Linked DNA regions of Tamandua tetradactyla. The protein of the gene in region 1 binds, or shares a complex with, the protein of each later gene. Links are inferred from orthologs where the notes say so. Each region holds a gene or a part of one and is shown in the gene's direction. Other genes may lie near its edges.

Region 1 (7,182 bases):
GAAATTAGCTGAAAATGCTTCGTTTGATTTTTTGCCCAGGTATAAAGCAGGGTGGGAGTTATGGTTCCTTATGGGTCTTACTTACGAGGTCTAGCCTGTGAACTCTTGTACTTTGTTCCCATCCTTGATTTATTTACCCTGCTCAGTTCTAAGACTTGGTTCAGGGAGGGCTAGGTGTTGGGAGAACCAAGAAAGTGGTTTATTTGGTTTAATTCTGCTTCTGTACAGCAGGTAAACAGAAGGCATGCATAAGAAAAGGAAGCTGTTAGCTACTATGGAAGAGGGTCCTGCCCCTAGGACCAAAGGCTGAACCAAGAGGTCTTTGAACCTGGGGCATGGATCAGGTGAAGGCCACACAGCCACAGTTAATTTTGGTAGGGTTCCGTAAGGAAGCAGAAGATATGGGGAGTGGGCCCTGCTGGGAGTCTAATCATCACTGTGCCTGCCTCTGGCATGAGCTACAGATTGCTTCCTGTTCCTCTTGAGGTTTGTTGGAAGTGGTAGAAAAATCCTAGCTTGGGATGCCAGGACCTCAAGACTGGGAAGAACTGTAAACACCTTGCAGCCCACCCTCCATCCAGTAATTCAGTCTCCTGCAGAGCACTCCAAGGGGCCAGTTCCTAGGTTGGAATGACTCCACTGGCTAGGAGTATCTTAAGTCTTCTCATCTCTGAGTTCCTTAAAACACTGCTGGATTCTGGTTTGCATCTGAATACATTCTGATTGGTCTGGTCCATCCTGAAAGCAGTGCTCACTCTGAACACAGTACGGCAGTGTAGGAGGAGCGGCACAGTGGGGGACACAACCCTGGTGCTTAGCTCATAGTAGCTGATTGCTCATTTCATATTTGTTCTTTAATGAATCAACTCCAGAAACCAAGTTTTCACCAGCTTTTTTGGCAGGCACACCAACATTCCATTCCTGTTGAGCTTCTCCACGAGGACATTTAAAAACAGCCATTTAATGAGTGCTGACTATAGGCCAGATACTGTGCCAGCGGCCTTCCATTCATTAGCTCCCGTGACACCCTCATAGCCCTGCTTCCTCATACCTAGTGCAGAGCCTGGCTTATTGTAAGTATTTGGTGAGTGAATAAATGCTAAACTGTAGGAAGTGTAGTATGGATGAGGGTGAGTTTCAGGCCAGGTGTCAAGTCTCCAGAGTCATTGTCCTTGATCACTGTCTCACACCAGTGAGTCTCTTCAGAATTCTTTCCTGCTTTTTGTGCTTAAGTAGAACTCCACTACCACATGGCTGCCTGTCTGCTTTGGAGTGAAAACCAAGCAGGAACAGGATTCTCAAGGCTCTAAAGCAATGTGATGCAATACCAATAATCAAGAAGGCTGCAGTTGTCTTATGGTCCTTAACTATCCCCTCATATCTTTATCTTTCCTACTGTGTCTCTAGTAGCCCTAGGGGTCCAGGGTTGTTCCCCAGGGACTGGCAGGGGTTCTGAGCAAATAAGAGTTCACTCCCAATTTAACCAGATCAGCGTGTTACCTATTTGGTATATTGGAACTTTACCAAAAACTTCACTTAAAAAGAAGGTTCCCATGCTATTGAAAAGTAAATTGGAAACCCCTGTGTCATATATGAAGGTGGACTTTCGCCCAAGTAGTTTCAGGGGCTTTAGTGGACTAGTTCGGAATCAGTTCTAACCTTATTTAAATTCCAGTTTCCCACAAAATCCCACATAACTTGGCAACTGAAGAACATGTAGCATGTCTGCTGTGTAGGATTTGCTCTAAATGAGTTCACCCAAAATAGAATGAGACTCTGCTTCTAATGACATACTGAGGAATATTTTGGTCCACTGGGCTTTGTGCTAACACCCTGCAGGTGCATGAAAGGTATGCACAAGCTAGACCCAGGGGTTGTTTTAGAATTGCCCTCCCACCTACCAAGCTAGTCCTGCCTCATACTCCCCTGAGCTGTGTGGACTGTGCAAACTGCAGTGGTTGTGTTGGGATTTGGTTCCTTGGTAAAAGTCATCCCTTTGCCCCTGGGACCTGGGAGAGAGTGTGCCTAGAGCCCTTCGTCAGTGCACAAGGCCACTGCAGACACCTCACGCTTGGCAGCAGAGGAGCCTGATGTCTTCTGACAAATGGTCTTCCTTGCTCTGAGTGTGATCTCATCGGTTCCAACCATAGTGAAGTCCACATTTGTCACAGCAGGAGCTCTGTTCAGTCCTTTGATGGTGGGCCTAGAATATTTCTCTCACACCAAATAATGGCTTGTACCATATTTGGTATCAATGGCAAGAAAGAGCCCAGGAGCTGGGTGGAAGCCAGGCCTCCTGGGTCCAGGGAGTTTGCTCCCATTTCCTGCGTGATGCAGTATCAGGTGAGGGACTGTCATCTCTAACCACAGCAGTCCAATAAAGGTCAGTACCCCTGTTTTCATGAAAAAAATGAGTTTCACAGCAAGTAGGTGGTAGTCAGCATTCAAACCCAAGTCTGGATGAACTGAGTCTCTTCTTTGTACTGCTGTGATCTGATTTCCCATTGCCTGTAGTGAAAAGTGAGGGTGAATGGTAGATTGGGGTTGGGAAGTGTTACATCTCTCTGGACCCTTGTTTTTTAGGTTCCAGTGTATGTTCCAGGTGCTGCCACAGTGTCTCAGCCCAGAGACACCCCTGCCTAGTGTGCTGTTGACCATTAAGCTCCTCTCTCTCCTGGTGGACCACGAGAAGCTCACCCCTCAGCTCTGTTCCCACTCAGGTAAAATGGGGTGGTGGGTGGACATCTGGGCTGCTGCAGATTGGAGGGAAAGGTTGTGGAGGGTCAGGGCCTCCTGGGGGCTTCTGCAGCTCATACCCTGAGCTCTGGGTGAGAAGGGGGCTCTGAGTGAGAGGTGGGCATCCTTTTCAGAAGGCTGCCTCCTCCTTCTGCTGTACACGTACATCACATCAAGGCCTGACAGAGTGGCCTCAGAGACACAGTGGCTTCAGCTGGAACAAGAGGTAAAATCTCCAGAGACCTTTCCAGGGACTGCTCACCATCCCACTCATGCCAAGGCCCCACGGAACCTCCTTTCTCTATCCTTCCCATCCTGAGAAGCGTGGGAGCTTTAATTCATTTAGGTAAGAGTTTATCAGGCAGCTGAGGAGGTGAACTTGGTTTGGGGACCCCATGCCATGCAGGTGCATGCCAGGTTGTCCTGGGACTTGCCAGAGTTACCTGATGACTAAGCCTGTTCTGACTTTGGGTCTGGTGACTTGAGCAGGACCTGGAGGCAAATGGGGTTTTTGGAGAGACACATGACAGTTGTGAGTCTGGCCCAGAAAAGCCCAGCACCCTTGGACCCCATTTGTGCAAACAAGCTGGAGCTCTTTTAGAAGCCTGAGAAAGCCCTTGCTTATAATCAGGGCCTCATTATGGTGGCTACAGAACAGTCTTCTTGTTCTAGGCGGTGTGGCTTCTGACTAAGCTTGGTGTGCAGAGCCCCTCCTCCCCAGCCACTGGCTCCAACTGCCAGTGCAATGTGGAGGTGAGTGGACAGGGGCGGGCAGGGGCTGACAGCATGGCAGCTCTGTTGGTGGATAAGGTGGCCCTGGGCAAGGACCCTATGCTCCCTTTAATCATGCTACCCATCACTCAGAACCTTCCTCTCCTGGGTGGGTGGGAAATGTGCTGGTCAGCCTCGTGAGCTGTTAGGGTGCAGGCAGCTGAAAGACTTGACCTCAGTCTGCACCCTCCACCAGGCTGTCAGAGCACTCACAGTGATGCTGCACAGACAGTGGCTAACGGTGCGGAGGGCAGAGGGGCCTCCAAAGACTGACCGGCATAAGCGAATAGTACGATGTCTGCGGGACACAGTGCTGCTGCTGCACAGCCTGTCCCAGAAGGACAAGCTCTTTACTGTGCACTGCGTGGAGGTCCTGCATCAGTATGACCAGGTGATGCCAGGGGTCAGCACGCTCATTCGAGGGCTCCCTGATGTGACAGACTGTGAAGGTGAGTGGGCAAGAGAACCCAGCCCTGTCCTAGCCCTCATGTGGGGTTTTCCCTGAAGTTCATGGACAGGTTAGACTTCTTGCCTTCCTTCAGCAGTCCTCCATCCACCACAGCTCTTTACAACACTGGCGACAGTCTCATTGTCTTGCTCCAGTTCTTTTAGACACGTTGAACTGCCGTTTGCTTATATGTTTTGTTGAGTTGGCCTGGCAGAGCCACGGTTTTTCCAGAGATATCCCTATCTGAATTGCCTTTGTATCACTTTGCTTGCAGTAGCTGAGGGAGCAAGGCCTGGGCGTGGAAGGGACTGGTTAGTTCCTGCGGGTTTTGGGGGAGGAGAGGTGGGACCTCCCCTATTCCCCAGCACTTTCAAGCCTTCATCATAGAACCCTCTTTTTCACTCAGAGGCAGCCCTGGATGACCTTTGTGCTGCTGAGACAGATGTAGACGACCCCGAGATGGACTGTGGCTGAGGTCCGTGAGCATCATGCCACATGGTGGCGCCAGCACTCCTGCTTTCCTCATCTCATCAACTGATTAAAAGCTGTGACAGGTTGTTCTTGCCAAGAACATGCCAGCCTTGGTGTTGTGTTTCCTGAGTCTGTCTGTGTTTGTCTGAGTGGGAGGGATGGAACAGGACTGGTCCCAGGGAAGGCTGGGATCCTTCCTCCTGTCCCTGCCCAGAGTTGAGACCCCATCCCCATGGTAACTAATCTGCTTTGAGGAAAGAGCTCTGCCCAGCCTGTGAAATTGTCCTGAGTCATTGTTTTGGGCTGGGGCCATGGGAAGAAATCAGTGTAAGGCAGGGAAGGAGGTGGCCTTCAGCCCAGGCCTAAACCAGGGAGGTCTGGGAAAGTGGAGCCGAGGGGTGGGCACAAAAGGGTCACAGCAGGAGCTCCCAGCAGTGTTTGAGTCATGGAGCTAGCCTCCCCAGACAGCCTGGGCACCCCTTGTATTTTCAGTTGGTGTCAGCTGGCAAGTCCACAGCTGTGGATCTAAGAAGCCTTAAGGGTGCCATGGCAGCTAGGGGGGAAGGGAGGGTTGCCTGGGGAGGGAACGGGTGTTGGCGAGAGAGGCCCAGGCAGGCTAAGAGAAGAGCAGGGCGGGCCTTGCTCACGCGGGCCTGTGGGCGGGCAAAGGCTGAGTTTCACTTCCCGCCACTGCTGGCCCTTGGCGAGAACCAGCCAGAGCACGCCAGAGTGATTGTGCCTGCCTGCTATTCGGTGAGTGCAGACCCCCAGGGGGATGGGACAGGGTGGATGGCTGTGGGGAGCCCCACCAGGCTAGGTGAGCACTGGGGGAGGGGGCCAAACCCACATGAAGAAGACAGGCCCACCCTCCCTCCAAACTGATAGAGTGTATGCTCCCACTGAGGAAGCTCCCCCGCTCCCCAGCTTCCTGCCCTCCCCACCTTAGATAACTTTTCCACAGGAGCATTCACAATGCCCCACCCCTTCCCCAGGCTCAGCGGCAGGTACTTGCCCCACCATGGGCTCACAGGCCCCACCCCCGGGTCCCATGCAGACCTTCATCTTCTTGGACCTGGAGGCCACTGGCCTGCCCTTTTCCCAGCCCAAGGTCACGGAACTGTGCCTGCTAGCCATCCACAGATGTGCCCTGGAGAGCCCCCCTGCGCCCCAGGGGCCAACCCCTACAGTGCCTCCACTACCCCGGGTGGTAGACAAGCTCTCCCTCTGCGTGGCTCCAGGGAAGGTCTGCAGCCCTGCGGCCAGCAACATCACGGGCCTGAGCACGGCTATGCTGGCAGCACATGGGCGGCAGCGCTTCAATGCCGACCTGGCCAACCTGCTCCAAACCTTCCTACAACGCCAGCCACAGCCCTGGTGCCTGGTAGCACACAACGGTGATCGCTATGACTTCCCCCTGCTCCAGGCAGAGCTGGCTGCAGTGGGCCTTGCCAACACACTGGATGGTGCCTTCTGCGTGGACAGCATCGCTGCCCTGAAGGCCCTGGAGCGAGGCAGCAGCCCCTCTGCGCATGGCCCAAGAAAGAGCTACAGCTTGGGCAGCATCTACACACGCCTATTTGGGCAGAGCCCACCAGACTCGCACACAGCTGAGGGTGACGTCCTGGCCCTGCTCAGCATCTGTCAGTGGAGGCCACAGGCCCTGCTGCGGTGGGTGGATGCTCACGCTAGGCCCTTCAGCACTATCAAACCCATGTACATGGTCACAGCCTCCACTGGGACCAACCCTAGGTCATCTGCTGCCAAAGCCACCGCACCCCTGGCTGTACCCAAAGACACCAGTCCCAGCACAAGGGTGGGCAGGAAGTCCAAGTCTCCTCCTCCAGTGAAGGGCCCTGGAGCCCTACCCAAGAAGGGGCTGCTGGCCCCACTGGGCCTACTGACCCTCCTGACCTTGTTAATAGCCATACTGTATGGGCTGTCCCTGAGTATCCCTGGGCAGTAAGGCCAACAAGGAAAATCTGACTAATAAAGACCCCAACAGCACTACCTGGTCACTCGCCTCCTGCCCTCCTTTGCAACCTGGGCCTCTGCCCACACAGGAACCTGGGGGAGGAGGGGAGATCACAGACCGTGGCACAGTCTTTGTCTTCCACCCTTCCCAGCAGGATGGTCAGAAGTCTAAGCCCAATAAAAGTAGAACCTGGTCAAAAACTGAAATTGTAAGTGTTGAATGGAAATGGTACATCCCAACAGCCAAGGCTATGAAGAAAGGGGCTGCCGCTCCAAATTTGTATTTATTATAAAGAAGTATATAGACCACAGATCCTTTCTTAGAAACACATTAGCAGATACAAAGCTAAGACATTTCTGGTGAAACATTAACAAAAGGGATGGGGAACACCAGGGTATTCATGTCTAGGCCAGAGCTGCCATCCAAGGGCACTGCCCACCTTCGGTCCAGATGGCCCCTGGGTCCAGGTGTCCCCACTGCCAGTATGAATTGTGGACTGAGGTTCAAGAAGCTGGATCACCGTAGGGGTGGTGTCTGGGGAAGTAGGGACTACGAGAAGCTATATTTCCTCTTTTCTGTAAGACGATTTCTCCCCAGGACCCAGAGGTTTCAGCCTCACAGCAAACATCACACACACTTGGAAACAGAACACAGTGGGTAATATTTGGCTAAAAGTAAAACACTGCAGGGAAGAGACCTGAGTCTGTTGGCGGACAGAGGCCACCCTGCCAACCTGTGGCAGGAGTTTGGGCCAGCAAGGGCAGGAAAGCTTCCCCAAGGGCAG
Region 2 (7,503 bases), on another chromosome or scaffold:
AGCACCTTTCCAGGCTTTGTAGATTGATTTGTGTGAGTGTTCCATGCCAAAGCAGAGTGGCTACTCCAATTCTTTCTGCACATGTGTCTTGGCTTGGGCATGTACATGTGGCCCTAGGAATTCCCCATTTTTATGGATATGATGTCCCCTGTTCTCTAGGAAACAGTTTCCTCATGGTCCTGAGCACTAAACTGTATGTCCTGCAACCAGCAATCCTTTGCCTTAGGCACCACAGTTTAACTGCTCTCCCACAGTGTTGTGTAGGAGTATTCTATGAGCTGCCTTCTACACACAGGGCAAGCTCTGATACAGTGAGTTCCTCAGACCACACCAGATAGATTTGCCAGACACATACATGTTCCCAGTATGTGCATAAGGTTATTCTACTCCTTCTGGAACCAGGACTGGGGATCCATACTAGGTGCATGGTCTGTCTCCATGCCAAGCCAGTGAGAGGTTTGGGGAGGCGTCAGCCAGGGCTTGAAGAAATCCTACATCTTTTAAGTAGCCTTTTCTTGATTTGCCCCTCGCCCCGTTAATACAATCCTTTAACTGTTTTCTGGAGCTTTTAGAAAGATGTTTCTGCCGGTTCATGCTGGTTGTTCAAAGCTTCCAAGGGGGATGGAGCCCTGAAGTGTCTCACTCTCTTATCTTGATTGGGGCCTTCAATGGTCTTTTGAGTTCTAGAATTTTAACATTTTCTGATAAGCCACTGTCTTATCCTCCAAAACTTCAATGGCTTTCCACTAACTATAGCCCAAAGTCTAAATTTTTTAGATTAGCATTCAAGGCTTGTCACTAATCTGGTGACCTTTTCCCCTGTTTTTCCATGGGAGAGTCTATTAGGAATATCTAATCAGTTTCTCAGAAATTTCTTACTTTTTCCTTCTTGCATCCTTTGCTTTTGGCTATATTCCTAATCCCCCAATTCCTACAGATATATCTACTTACTACTTTTTTTCTGGGTATCTGAATCCAATCTCTTCTATAAAATGTTTCCACCACCCCATCAAGGCAACCTAGCAACCTCTCTTTTTCTGCCCACAATACTTGATATTATTAGTTCAGTTCACTAAACTTCACCTCTATTATTATTTTGGGCTGTGGATACATTTAATTAAAGAGTTATTTAGCAGGGGGTGGAAGGCCAGTGCAAAGGAGTGAATTACTACTGCCTTAGGTATAAATTTCCACTGTCAGTGATTTCAAGAGGAGGCTGGCTGATTCCTTGTCAGGGTTTCTGAAGAGGTGATTTGTCACAAATTATTTAAGATTCCTTTTAACTTGAAATTCTATAAAGACATAGTTTTCTTTTCTTTTTTGGGGGGGGGTGGGTGGGTGCATGGGCCAAGAATCAAACCCAGGGCTCCTGCATGGCAGGTGAGTATTCTACCACTGAACCACCTGTGTATACTAAGACATAGTTTTCTGATTTGGTTCACAGAAACATTTACCTGTGGAAGCTCAGAGGGCTGTTGTAGGATTGGGAAAGGACGGTCAGGGTGGAGTCATGTATTCAGGATGGCTTCCAGGAACAGATGAGATCTTCCTATTTTCCACTCCCTATACCTCTTCCTCAGTATCTGCCTGGGCAAGAACCTCTTCGACTAATAAGGCTTAAATTATCAATTTAAATGAATCTGTCTCTAGGACATGGTCTTATAGAATCTACCAATCAGTAGCATTGGAATCATTTGGGAACTTATTAGATATGCAAACTCTCAGACTCACTGAATCAGAATCTGTATTTTAACAACTCCCCAGGTGATTTCTTCTTCTTCTTCTTCTTCTTTTTTTTTTTTTGCATGGGCACGCACAAGGAATTTAACCCGGGTCCTCGGCATGGCAGGCAAAAACTCGGCCTGCTGAGCCACCGTGGCCCGCCCTCCTAGGTGATTTCTTTATACATAAAACTTTTAGAAACATTACTATAGTGGACTGCAACCACTGAAAAGGATTTTGTAAATAATTGTATTGAACTGACATTTTATGCACCCTCTCCAAAAAAAAAAAAAAAAAAAAAGAAAGAAAGAAAGAAAGAAAAAGAAAAGAAACCTGGGATTCTTCATCTAGTTATCTTTTTCTCATACCCCACATCCTATCCATCAGCAAGACCTATGGGCTCCATCTTAATATATTTCCTGTAACTAACCACTTGTTTGCATCTCCTTTGTCACCACCTATTGCAAATCATGATTATCTCTTACTTGGATTACTACTGTATTCCCAAACTGGTTTGTTTTTGTTGTTGTTGTTTCATTTAACATTAAAAAAAAAATCTTGAAATAATTGCAGATTCAAACCAAGTTCCAATAAATGGACAGGGTAATCCTGTGTACCTTCCTTTAGTTTCCCCCAGCGGAAAAATCTTGAATAACTATAGTGTAATATTAAAACCAAGAAACTGACATTGGTACAATCCACTGAATTCATTCATATCTCACCAGTTGTACATACTCATTTGTCTAGTTCTATGCAACTTTATCACATGTGTAGATTCATATAACTGCAACCACAATCAAGATACAGAACTCTTCCATTATCACAAGTCTCTCATACTGCTCCTTTATAGCCACATTCATACCCTGTACCCTGCCATCTCTAATTCCCGGCAAACATAATTTGTTCTCCATTTCTCTAATTTTATTTCAAGGATGCTATATAAATGGAATCATACTGTATACAACCTTTTTGACACTGCCTTATCTTTTTTTCCACTTAGCATAATTCTCTTTAGATCCATTGAAGTTGTTTTATATATCAACTGTTTTTTTTTTAATGGCTGAGTATTTCATGGTCTGGATGTACCATGGTTTGTTCAACTATTCACCAAGTAAAGACCACCTGTTCTGTTCCTAATTTTTGACTAATGCAAATAAAGCTGCTACGAACATTTGTGTTCAGTGTGATTGTGTTCATTTTTGGTGTGAACAGAACATAAGTTTTCAATTCTGTTCAAGAATGCCATTGCTGGGTGATGCTGTAAATTCGTGTTTGGTTTTACAAGAAACGGCAAGACTGTTTTCAAGAGCGGCTATATAATTTAAAATTCCTATCAGCAATGCATTGTGGGTGATTCAGGTTTTCTGCATCCTTGGCGGCATTTAGTGTTGTTACTAAATTTTCATTTTAGCCATTTGACAGTGTATAGTGATACCTCATTGTGGTTTTAATTTGCATTGCCCTAATGGCAAATGATGTCTAACATCTCTTCATGTACTTACTTGCCATCTGTATATCCTCTTCAACGAAATGACCTGTCTTTTGCCTACTTTCTAATTTTTTTTTAACTGTTGAGTTTTGAAAGTTCTTTATATAGTCTAGGTATAGGTCCATTATTAGATATGTGGTTTGCAAATATTTTCTCCCACTCTAACTTGTCTTTTCATCCTTCTCACAAAGTCTTTCCCAAGGCAAAAGCTTTTAATTTCGATGAATCTAATTTATTAACTGTTTTCTTTTATGGATTTGGCATTTGTTGTCAAATCTAAACATTCTTCCTTTAGCCCTCAGCTCGGAAGATTTTCTTCTTTTTTTCCTAGACATTTTATAGTTTAAAATTTTATGATCTGCTTTGAGTGAATTTTATATAAACTGTGAGGTCTAGGTCAAGGTTTTTTTTGCCTGTAGATGTCCAATGGCTCCAGTATCATTTGGTGAAAAGTCTCTTGATTCCACTTTTGTCCCATCTCTTCATCCATTCCCCTCACGGCAGTCAGAATGATTTTTAAAAAATAAGATGATGTCATTCTCTGTTCCAAACCCTACAATGACTTCCTACCACAATCTGGCCCCTCTCCAATGGGATGCCTACCGCTGGATGTCTTCAGTCATCTGGAATGCTCCCCCACTTCATTCAGGTCTAGTCTATTATTACTGTCAGTTCCTCAGAGATTTCCTCGACTAGACTTTTTCTTTTCCAACTAGACTTTGAATGTAGCCTTCCTCTTTAACTTTTTCCCCTTGCCTTGTTCTTTATAGCACTTACATAAAACGTTATTATACTACATATCAATTTATTGCTTATTGCTTGCCCCCCTTCTCCCCAAAACCCCACCAGAAACCCCAAGAGTTTACTGCTATATCCCCAGGGCCTAGAATACTGCCTAGAACATGGTAGGTACTCAATTATTTATTGCATGACTTGCTGAAAAAAGGATTGAATAAATATGAGGGAGCAGTACGTCAAATTTATGTAAGACGCTCCTTCAGACTTCGTGAATGGTCTGAGCGCCACCTCTCGGCGGTACCAGTTTGCTTAAAAAAACAAAACAAAACAAAAACGAGGCCGCCTGCCGGAAGAGCACGAAACTAGTGCCGGAAATTAAACATCGGAAGTTTGCGCCCTAGAATGACATCCTACCCATAGAAGGAAGCGTGGACGAATGGTGTCTTCTAAAATGGGACCTTCCCTGCCAGACCTCAGCAGAAGCGTTCCGTGTCCGTCAGTGCTGGGAACCACGTGGGGCCGGGGCGGGTTTCCGGTGTCTGTGGCAGCAGCCAGAGTTGAAGGCCAAGCAGCTGGAGGGGTAAGAGGGGTTCCGGATCTGGAATAGCAAGAAGAATGGGGTCCGGGATGAAGAGGGCGTTTGACGTTCGCCCTGAGAGGCGGGGGGGCGGGGGGGGGGGGAGGTGTGTGTGAGATGGAAGGGAAGGGATGAGGACCCTTTGTCAGCAGGTGCAAACCTGTCAGTGCACCTCCCACGCCACGTGGACTCGCCTTTGTACGTGGCTGCCTTTCACACCGGGCCGCGAGGTCTGGGGTTGTGCTTTATTTGACTCTCTCAAGAACAGTGCCTGGCCAATAGTTGGCGCGGGGTTTGTTGAGTGAATCACAGTGTTTGTGTAGCGGGGTTTGGAGAGGGACATTTGTAGGAGTGATTTCTGTTTTTTTTTTTAGCCCCATTTTCTCCTGGCAAAGCCTTGCTTTCATCTGGGGTTCTCCAGATAGCCTTTGAGGTTTGGTATCTCTTTTTTCGAGGGGAGGGGAGATAATAATTTAAGACGTTTTGTTCGCTTTTCCTGAGTGCTAGGCCATGTGGCTAGGTATTGGAAATTCGCACAGAATTAAACCAGCCCTCTCTGCAGGTCACAGACCAGACATTTATGCAGAAAATTCAAATACAATGTTAAGGTGCTGTGATAGGCCGTAAGTAAAGTATGAAGGCCAAGAGTCAGGAGGTGGCTGCTCTCCACATCAAGGATTGTCTTCCAAGATGAGGGGCCTTTCTCATTGTGTTGACACAGAGCAGGTCATGAGCTGATTCTCCTCTGTAAAAGGAAGAATCGAGATTAGATGCTCTCTAGACTCCTTTCCAGCACAGTAATCTGTGAAATTACAATCTCATATCAGATATTACTAATGACTGTAATTCTTCCTCCATCTATTGTTTATCCGCTAGTCAGAATATTCACTGCATCTTAGGGTATAGCATAAGTTGCATAGGGTTGGGGTTGGGAAACAGGTTGGACCCATTTCCTCATTTGTAAAATGAAGGGGTTGTAATGAAACAATCTAGAAAACTCCTTCCAGTTCTAATACCATGGCTGTGGCACTGGGTCAAACCTTGTTTCTTACTGTCTTGTTACCCTATGTCATTTTCACATGTAGTTTTCCCCATCTGGATTATTGAGAAAGAGGATGTCTTAGTTTTACACCCCTATCTTAGTCTGTCACTGTATTGGGTATACAGTAGGTACTTAAAACTTACTGAGGGAGCCTGGTGCCACTGCCACCCCGCGACGACCACCACCGCCCCCTGTCCTGCAGCCACTGCCTGTTTCGCCGCCGCCTTGGAACCAGCTGTATGATTAGGCCACAATCTTCAATGAGTAAACATATTCCTCAGTTCTGTGGTGTTCTTGGTCACACATTTGTGGAGTTTCTGAAGGGCAGCGGAGATTACTGCCAGGCACAGCACGACCTCTATGCAGACAAGTGAACTGTAGAACTCATTAGTACTCCACCAAGAAACCCCCATAAGAGTGGTTAACCTGGACACAGAAGTGTTGAATTGAAATCTGCAGAGCATTTTACAAGAGTTCTGATCTGGATGGGGTAAACCTCAGTGCACTACTTTAAATTGCCTCAGTATTACTGGATTGAAGAATCGCTGCTTCTTGTTAGGAGGTCCATTTCATTTCCCATTCCTCGCAACTTCATACTCAAAGCACTGAGAATTTCAAGTGGAGTATATTGAAGTAGACTTCAGTTTCTTTACATCGTTTCTGTATTCAATTTTTAAAATTTTTTCATAGCCCTTTGAGTGTTTTTAACTAAATTAACATGGCTCGAATGAACCGCCCAGCTCCTGTGGAAGTCACATACAAGAACATGAGATTTCTTATTACACACAATCCGACCAATGCAACCTTAAGCAAATTTGTAGAGGAACTTAAGAAGTATGGCGTTAGCACAATAGTGAGAGTATGTTAAGCAACTTATGACACTGCTCTTGTGGAGAAAGAAGGCATCCATGTTCTTGATTGGCCTTTTGATGATGGTGCACCACCATCCAACCAGATTGTTGATGATTGGTTAAGTCTTGTAAAAATTAAGTTTCGTGAAGAACCTGGTGGCTGCATTGCTGTTCATTGTGTTGGAGGTCTTGGGAGAGCTCCAGTGCTTGTTGCCCTAGCATTGATTGAAGGTGGAATGAAATATGAAGATGCAGTACAGTTCATAAGACAAAAGCGGCGTGGAGCTTTTAACAGCAAGCAGCTTTTGTATTTGGAGAAATATCGTCCTAAGATGTGGCTGCGCTTCAAAGACTCCAGTGGTCACAGAAACAACTGTTGCATTCAATAAAACTGGGGTGCCTGATGCCATTGCCTTGGAAGTGGAACTTGAGAGAGGAAGAACCTAATTTGTCGTACATATTAGCCACCATGTCGGTGAATAAGTCCAGTTGAAGCTTCCATAGGAGTATTGAAAAGCAGTTTTACCATGCTACAAGTTTGACAGAATTGCAGCCTCTATGTTTAGGTTACAATCAGCTTGTTTGGACACTTAGCAAAAGATTTCTTGCTGGTCAGCATTTAAAATGGGCTTATCATTTGTGACAGTTGACCTTTCCTGAAATCATGCAGTATTGAGTTATAAGTCCTCTTTTAAGTCTCTTATGCCACAATCTTATCAATATATAAGAAATTTAGAGAGATTAGCTGCCAAAATACCCAGCACAATACTTGTATATTTTTAGTATCATTCAGAATTTAAAATCCCAGGAACTATGAACACTCTAGACCTTATGTGGTTTATTCCTTCAGTCATTTCAAACATTGAAAGTAGGTCTGTTTGGTTATCTGCCTGGTCACTTTATGTTTACATCTCCCACATTCATACCAGTATACATCAGGTTTGCACAGCCATTGAATTTTGTTAGATTTTTACCAAGTCTTACGGTGATTATTTAATGTCTATAACTCATTTTGTGATGTTAGAGAAAACCTCCATTTTGAAAATTGACATTGTACAGAAGCACATGTCTTTAATGTCTCCAG

Evidence for each region. Proteins that work in one complex are often made in the same cells at the same time.
Region 2: TREX1 (region 1) and nucleoside diphosphate kinase A share a complex: the UniProt entries of both Homo sapiens proteins name them as parts of the SET complex. The link is inferred for Tamandua tetradactyla from reciprocal best matches to the Homo sapiens genes TREX1 and NME1.

Annotation. Positions count from the first base shown.
Region 1 is NC_135341.1:37,817,587-37,824,768, reverse strand, and holds TREX1 (three-prime repair exonuclease 1), read left to right. Parts: upstream 1-4,655; 5' UTR 4,656-4,972; coding exon 4,973-5,179; intron 5,180-5,418; exon of another isoform or gene 5,419-5,444; coding exon of another isoform or gene 5,445-5,528; coding exon 5,529-6,389; 3' UTR 6,390-6,664; downstream 6,665-7,182. Other genes in the region: ATRIP (ATR-interacting protein), read left to right, coding at 1-39, 2,584-2,720, 2,871-2,962, 3,409-3,489, 3,704-3,956, 4,362-4,429. UniProt on the Homo sapiens protein: Major cellular 3'-to-5' DNA exonuclease which digests single-stranded DNA (ssDNA) and double-stranded DNA (dsDNA) with mismatched 3' termini. Prevents cell-intrinsic initiation of autoimmunity.
Region 2 is NC_135332.1:32,271,374-32,278,876, forward strand, and holds the start of nucleoside diphosphate kinase A, read left to right. Parts: upstream 1-4,401; 5' UTR 4,402-4,529; intron 4,530-6,168; exon of another isoform or gene 6,169-7,503. UniProt on the Homo sapiens protein: Major role in the synthesis of nucleoside triphosphates other than ATP. The ATP gamma phosphate is transferred to the NDP beta phosphate via a ping-pong mechanism, using a phosphorylated active-site intermediate.